Mus musculus: one gene and its partner. The main gene of each other region encodes a partner of the protein of the gene in region 2 in a complex. Links are inferred from orthologs where the notes say so. Each region holds a gene or a part of one and is shown on either strand. Other genes may lie near its edges.

Region 1 (4,111 bases), on a different chromosome or scaffold from region 2:
CATACTAAAGTGGCTGTGCCCATGTACAGGCGGGACAGCAGCCGACGCCGCTTATCCATAGTCGTGTAATAGACATTGACAAATTCCTCTGCAGCTCTGCAGGCCTGGTCCACATAGGTCTTGAAATCTACTGATGCCATCTCTGGTTCTGCTGACAAGAGGCCTCCGCCTGAGCGCCTCCTCCTTAGGGATCCAGGGACTGTAGGACAGCAAAGGTCAAGTGAACACAAGTGAATTTCAAAGTCTATTCTGCCGTGAGAAAAGTTTTCTTTCAAGTTTTAATTTTTAAAATAGTGTTTGTGTGCATGTGATTTGGTGCATGCCATGGCTCATTGTAGGTCAAAGGAGACCAGGCAAGAGTCCTCTCTGCCTGCCTACCATGTCTGCCTACCATCTCATGCCTCCGAGGAATCAAAAACTCAGGTCGTTAGGTTTGACAGAAAGCACCTTTACCCATTGACCCATCTAGCTCCCAACCCTATTTTTCTATAGGTAACAGAACATTTACATACTACAGGCAGATGACTTCAGGCTCAGACTCAAGCCTATTTATTTTAAAGGCAGGGTCATGATATATAGATCTGGAATCAAAGGCAGTCAGCTCAATGGCTACCTATTTCATCTTTCCAATCCTTAGTTTCCTCGAGAGAGAGAAAAAAGAAAAAAAAGGAACAGAAAATTAAACTAGACAGTGCACCACCACATCCAGCACTGAGTTAGGGACTTTAAGTCAGGAGTGGTGGAGCACACTGGAGAATCTGAGACAGGAATTGTAGACCAGTCTGGGCTAAATAGTAAGCTTGGTCAAAAAAAAAAGTCCAATATGTTCACCTTACAATGGGTTTTAAAATCCATTTATAATTATTAAAGTACATTTGATACCTGAAGTCTGCTTTCCTAAAAGCGTGGATAGGTGTGACTGCCCCTAGGCAACCAGGGTGTGGCTCATCTTAGTAAAACCTGTGTCTCCCGCTGTAGAAGTGAGTGGTTACTGACCCAACAAAGGAGAGCAGGTGCCTGTATGGGAAAAGACTACCATGAAATAATCCAACAAGGACCCAGAAGATGCAGGGAATGGCATATTTCTCAGGAGAGTGGAGGACAGTGGTTACAATGCCCATAACAAGTAAACCCAAGACTAACTAGAATTTATGTCTTCAGCATTAATGGCCACCATTTAAGACCAGCAGGGCCATGACACCATAGCAGAAAGGCTCTAGCATTCAAACAGTCTCAGGGAGATTCCGGAAGATCACAGTTCCTTAAAACATTAAAGTTCCATCACATAAGCAGCATGGCTTTTCTTTTTACAACAGGAATGGCTGCTAATTTTTTCTATGGTTAACTATTTCCACTTAAAAGAACCTAGTACTGATCAATATTACTGAAAATAGGACACAAGTAATTTATATTATTTGCCAATTTCCAGAAACAGGGTCTCTACAGAGTAAGCTTAAAACTTTAAGCTGTGAACACATGCTTTTTCATTTCAAGAGCCTTTATTATTTTATTGAGACACGTTCTCTCTATGTATTTCTGCCACTTCTATGTAGACCACACTGGCTTTGAACTCATGACATCCGCCTCTGCCTTTTGTGCTGGGAATAAAGGTGTGCACGACCATGCCTGGGCCAACATTTTTTTTTTTTTGGTTTTTCGAGACAGGGTTTCTCTGTGTAGCCCTGGCTGTCCCGGAACTCACTTTGTAGACCAGGCTGGCCTCGAACTCAGAAATCCGCCTGCCTCTGCCTCCCAAGTGCTGGGATTCAAGGCGTGCGCCACCATGCCCGGTTTCATTTTTTTAAGCTTATCAGTTTATGAACGATGGATTCCACACAGAGCAAGGAGGAAGCTGGCCCTATAGATGAATTCGGAGCCAGCTTGATACTGCTCTTGCCACTCTCTCACCAAGGTCCTCCGACTCAACAATCAATCTGAAGTGCTGTTTGCTTAGTAGTTTAGGTACATTCCCTCAATCATCATTGCACAAGTCACTGTAACAACTTTACAAAAAGAGTTACAAACTTACTTGCTTCATTCTACGGAAGCAAGGGAGTCAGAGCTATGCTTACTAAGTTCCAGGATTTTTTTGAAAGCAGTTCTATATGAAAACAGCTCTAGGGATGCTGGCTTAACAATGTTCTCCAAGGTAACCATATTTCTCTGTCCAACCACCTCATCCCCACTTCTTTAGGCCACAATGCTTCGCCCTAACATTGGTCACGCCCCCAAAGATGATCACCCCTATTTCTGGTCCTCAGCTACCCACAGAACCCGGTCATCTTTCTCTCTTAAGGAGAGAGCAGTACGACCGAAACATAGTAGAGTGAGAGTCAGAAAGATGCTCCACTCCCATGGTTCATACTGTAGTTTCCTGGAGTTGGACCTCAGAAACGGCAGCCGTGCCCCGGGCCTCATTTCCAGCTGGGAGTCGCTTCTTACATCCCCCGGCCCCAAACTGCTGCTCTCCTCCGGGTATGGCAAACTCACCGCCACGGTTCTGCACATAAAAAAGCCTGATGCCAGGTTGCAGAGACACCACGTGGAGGAAAGGACAACATCCATGTCTTATTGAGCCTAAGAAAAGGGAAGAGGTCCCTGGTGCCGCGGCGTTGCCAGACGGCCAGGCAGGAGCGCTCACTTACCTGCTCGATCTCGGTCAGCGCCGCCAAGGCGACTCGGTCCCGGGTTCCGCCCCGGTCGCGGTCCCGGGCCAGAAGAGTTTCTCTCCTGTTCTCCTCTTCCTCCCAGAGGCTCCGCCTGAGAAGCCGACGTCCAGGAGGCGAGGAACGGTTAAGCGCCGGTAGTGGCTTCCCGCGCGCCGCAAGCTGCAATGTGCGCAGGCGCTAGCATCCCGGTTCCCGTCGACTCCCGCCTCCCCGCGACGGGCAGCTACGCGAGCCAGTAGAAAACTTGGCTCCGCCCAGGTGTGGCGGCAAAGACAGTGTAGGTTCCGGGTTAGGCACTATCCTAGAAGATCCGGTTGAGGGAGCTCTGATTGGATGTTGTGGAGAGGGTGGAGTCAACGCGCTTAGCTGTGGAAGGCTTGGTTAATAAGAGATATCTGTCTTTGCTAGATCTGGCTCCCTTCTTCTGTGTGTGTTGGGATGATATCTTGTGGAGACTCGTGAAGCTTCAACGTGGAGCTTCACTGGTTGATGCTAACTAGGGAGACAACAGCATGGCTTCAATAAGGCTCTGGACTGAACCCAGCACATAGACACCCGTAGTGTAGGAACCCGGTGGAAGGCTAAATCTGAGAGTCTGTGGAAGTCCTTGTGGTCAAATATGGTCAAATATCTTAGCTGAGCGCACCCTTCCTAAGGTGAAGCTACTTAGAGTTGACAAGCAGATGAACTTATAAGAGAACAAATTTTAGTCTAGTGAGAACTGAGGTCGAAGAGGCGGGCAAGGGGACAATGGTAGTTGACTTTCTATGCAGTGCAAATTGAGTTTCCTGCTGGCTCCAGCTGCGGCGCAGTACCACCTCATTTAAGACACTGAATTTGTTTTAATCTGGAGCTGTCTAGATACCTAGCATAGAAATGGAGCCATTTCGCGTGGGAAATTGGGAAACTGCTTCGTGTATCAAAACCCAAAGAGCTAACTTTGCTGAGACCTGATTCTTTGCTTCATCTGCCCGGCTAGGAGAGCTGTTTGTAAGTGGCTTTGTTCAATTAAGTACTTTAATCTGTATTTTGTTACCAACCTCTCGGCTCCTTTTGCTCATGTTACTAAGGGAACATTTGTTTTTAGATTTAAGAAACGAGAATGGCTGTTCAATATAGGTCACTTCCCACTGGAGTTAAGTGAGTGAAAAGTTTTCATTATTGAAAGAATTAAGTTGGAGTCTGAGTTTCAAGGATGAATAAGTGCCTTTGGAGCAGTAGTTACACAAAAATATGTAGTAAACCTGGGGATAAAGTAGTGGTAGGTCCCAGGACTTTTCCTGAGGGAGAACTTGACCTTTATTCTTTCAGTAGCCCTTGAATTTGGGAGATTAGAGATGCCTCTGATTCTAAAGGACTGGCCACTGACACAGTTGAGCGTATTCGTCAAGGTTCTCTAGAGGATAGAATCTCTCTCTCTCTCTCTCTCTCTCTCTCTCTCT
Region 2 (3,569 bases):
GAAATTGGAGGGGGTAGCTCATGGCCATCCTGTGAAAAGAAGTGAATGTAATATGAGAAACTGAAGAAAGACTGGATTTGTGAGCATAGAGAAAAGCTAAAAGACACGGAGAGCGTGCAGGGATCCTATATAAACTTTGTCCACAGGCATTTCTAAGATGAAGATTACCACTGTTAGCAGATTCTCAAACAAATCTACACACCCACATTAGTGGTCACAAAATAGAGGCAAGACCTTGGTTGTCCCTGTTCTTGAGAACAAAATGTTAGACTTACCAGGCGTAATAACTTGGGAAATCGTTCGCGAATGGCGCTGTCAAGAACGGGACAGAAGTGAGTGACGCTTCAGAGCCATCATGCCTCCTGGGCTGCTCTAGGAGCAAATACACCAAAAACCCGAGGAACAGCCCATCCCATCCTGCTTATCGCCCACTCCTCCCCAACTTAAACATGGGGACAAGAACCCCCATTCCCCTCCTCACCAGGGGCACCCCCTTCTTAATTGCCTTGAAGGCTGGCTCTGTTGTCTTGCTGCCTGATCCCGAGTGCCACAGGAGGGCACTCTCAGCCCAGGCTTTAAGCCTAGGGCTGCCTTCCCCACCTTGCCCCCCTTACCTTCCACCTACTCACCTGTGCAGCCCCGGGAGGAGGGAATGGGGTTGGAGCCCAGGGGCTCCGCTGCCTCACCAGGTATCCACCAGTTCTGCCAGGTCTGGCCTTCGCCAAGACCAGAACACACCACAAGTATGGCACAGGATGTTGGGGCAAGGAGATGAACAAGACAGGGCTCAAGGAGGAGGAAAGAAAAGAGACCAAGGGAAAGAGAAATGGAGAAAGGTAGGGCAGGAACAAGAGAGAAATGGAGAGACAAAGAGGAAGCAAAGCAACAGGGACAGACCTGAAGGCAGAGGCATTCAGAAAAGAATGGCAGAAAGAAAGACCTCCTGAAACAGCCATTTCCTTCAGCTGCCCTTTTCCTGTGGTCCCAAGGTAGAAATGAAGAATAAATCCTATAATGATTTGCAGTTGCTGTTGGCCAGGTCTCTGTCTGCTCTCTGGGTCCCGGTCTAAGCTGGGCGTGGGAGGTAAAGTAGCCATGGGGCCAGGAAACCTCCCTCAGAAGACATGAGGATTCAGGCCTCTGCCGAGTTGGGGGGGTGAGGGTCTGTGCCCCACCTCAGTTGGCCCCCAAGTTCTCTCCTGATGGCCCCTCTGCGACTGTGCCTGTCTTAGGTTGTTCCTTCCCTGAGGAATCTTACCCGTCTCTGGCTAACCAGCCATCCTCGGGGCCAAGCAGGGTGACTGTGAGGTGTGCGAGTGAGGGAGGGGCTGTGCCCGACAGGGTCATTTCTCTGTCTCCTTGGTAGCAGATGCCCCTGTGGCCTCCACGCCCAGCACTTGCCTTGGGATCCCCCTCGCCTGCTGGCGGGGCCCCGGCTTTGATCACATCTTAGGGAAACCCAGATTTCTTCTCCAGGAAAGGCCCAGTTCACAGCACTGGGCAAGAGAGACCAATAGCATGGTACCAGCCTCCAAGAGGCATCAACATCAGCATGGGCAGAAAGGACCAGGCCACAGCCTTGGCTAAGTGGATCATGAAAATAAAGAGTCCCTCTTGGTACAACGGCAAGAGGGACCATGAAAGGACAAAGGAAGGCCTGTCTCAGTAGACAGCCCCAGTAAGAAAGGACTTTCTCACAGCCTAAGCACACCAGGCTTTTGCTGAAGACAAACACACAGGTAGGGCATATATAAGACACCTCCACATCAGAACAGAAAAGGGGAGGTGCTCTTCCTGGAATAACAGGTAGGGAGATTCTAGAAAAGGCTGTGTTCAAGAAAGAAGGAGAAAGGCCAGAACTAGAGAACAGAAGTCAGGTGAGAAGAAAGAAGAGATCTGGGACAGAGCTAGGAGACAACAGACAGGCAGAAAGGAATACATGATCCTCCTCCCAAAGAACAGGTGGTTCCAGCTCAGGGCTGCATGTTCTCCTGTAGACGGGCACTGGTCAGGGTGCATGAGCTCAGCCTCCCAGGGGTGAATGTCCCCAGGAGGGGAGACAGAGGCTACAACTGACCTGATATAGCTGGACTGGTCTCCGAAGTTGTCACACATGGGGTTTCTGTCAAGCCACAGCTCTTCCAGCTTCAGCCCTTTTATCTTGTCTAATTCCCGCTCAGTCTTCAACTGTGAAGGATGAGGAGAGTAAAAGGGAAGAAACAGACCTTACTAAGAATAGCAGCTGGATTCCCACACTTCTAAATCCTACCTAAGTTTTGTTTCTTGCTTCCCACTATGGCCAGCCACACTCTCCTGGCTCCACCATCACAGAAACACAGCAGGGTCAGTGTGATGGCTTAGTGGGCAGGAGCTCTCACCTCATAAGCATCACAGCCCAAGAACCCACGTAGAAGGAAAGACTCAACTCCCAACACAGTCTGACCTCCACCTCCATAGTCAGTTAACTATTAAAAACAAAAGCACCCTAGATGTCAGTCTTACTTCGTTTCCGGAGAGATTTAGGGTCTTTAGGTTTGGCGCCTTCTGCACAATGCTAGACATATCATCCAGCTTGTATAGCCTGTTGCTGCTCAAGTTCAAAGACAATAGCTAGGAACAGAACAAAGTTTAGATGTGTTACCACGGGGCAAATCTGTATCTCATCCTATCCTACACATCTCACCCTGATTTTTAATGCAAAAATAAATAAATAAATAATTAGTTAATTAAATTAAAATTAAAAAAAAAAAAAGCTTCACCTCAGGAATGTTCTCTTCAATGATCCGCAGGGTGGCTGCCATACAGCTTCTGCGGTTTAGAACAACATCGATGTTCTGGGCCACCAAATCTGTAGCAAATAGAAAGAAAAGGAAGTCTGAGAGGTCTTGCCCATACCAGTGTTATAAAGACCAATTGTTTCCCCTCTCCAATTAGTCAGAACCATTGTTGTCAGTCATACCTGGGTCTGAGCGGAGCCCCTTGAGGTCAAGTGCTTGTTGGTTGCCATCATATCGTTTGCTCATGATCAGCTAGAAGAAGGAAAACGAAGGGTTTAGTCGTCACTGATGGAGATTGAAAGTCTGCTGGACCATGTCACTTGAGCCAGCCTTACCTTGAGCTGCTCTATTTGTTCGGGCTTCAGTTCATTCTGTACAGTGTAGGGTGGAGCAGAAGCATTGATGATGATAGATATCTGAAGAGAAGACAGAAAGGCAGGAACATAATTGAGGGCAGCCTAATCACCAGCACTAAGACTTAGTCCCTTTTAGTGCACCAACTGTGCCATACCAGGCCCTTGTCCACATACCCTTCTGTTTTCTCGATCCTGGATCTTATGGTTGACACCCTTTAATGCAGAAGCAGTAGTGGCATCCTCCACAAAAAAATGGGCCCGTGTATTTTCATAGTGAAACTGGAAGAAGGAAAACAAACAACATTCAATCTGGAGTCCACAGGTCCTTCCACAGCCTTTCAGGTCTAACTCTGTCTTACCTCGATGGGATTGAAGGGGACACTGCATTTGCTCTGAATCATGCTCAGAAGCCACGTTTTGTCATACTTTCTACCAT

Evidence for each region. The genes of interacting proteins can lie anywhere in the genome.
Region 1: the proteins of Nxf1 (region 2) and Nxt1 are in contact, whole or in part, in a crystal structure (PDB 4WYK), measured with the Homo sapiens proteins. The link is inferred for Mus musculus from reciprocal best matches to the Homo sapiens genes NXF1 and NXT1. Residues at the interface, in NP_006353.2 of Homo sapiens: Ala366, Pro367, Thr368, Thr369, Leu370, Pro371, Pro372, Cys373, Lys374, Gly375, Tyr377, His411, Gly413, Cys415, Cys416, Ser417, Leu418, Ser419, Ile420, Pro421, Phe422, Arg440, Asn441, Val442, Lys443, Lys444, Lys446, Pro448, Thr449, Arg451; in NP_037380.1 of Homo sapiens: Phe6, Lys7, Val10, Asp11, Cys14, Glu18, Thr44, Val46, Trp47, Asn48, Gly49, Asn50, Ala51, Phe61, Met64, Leu65, Pro66, Ile72, Ser73, Val74, Val75, Asp76, Cys77, Gln78, Pro79, Val80, His81, Glu83, Ala84, Thr85.

What each region holds. Positions count from the first base shown.
Region 1 is NC_000068.7:148,671,370-148,675,480, reverse strand, and holds the start of Nxt1 (NTF2-related export protein 1), read right to left. Parts: upstream 2,867-4,111; 5' UTR 2,646-2,866; intron 1,018-2,645; exon of another isoform or gene 883-1,017; intron 200-882; 5' UTR 141-199; coding exon 1-140.
Region 2 is NC_000085.6:8,763,540-8,767,108, reverse strand, and holds part of Nxf1 (nuclear RNA export factor 1), read right to left. Parts: coding exon 3,493-3,569; intron 3,413-3,492; coding exon 3,308-3,412; intron 3,194-3,307; coding exon 3,113-3,193; intron 3,030-3,112; coding exon 2,960-3,029; intron 2,849-2,959; coding exon 2,760-2,848; intron 2,611-2,759; coding exon 2,503-2,610; intron 2,188-2,502; coding exon 2,078-2,187; coding exon of another isoform or gene 1,834-2,077; exon of another isoform or gene 313-1,833; coding exon 276-312; intron 30-275; coding exon 1-29.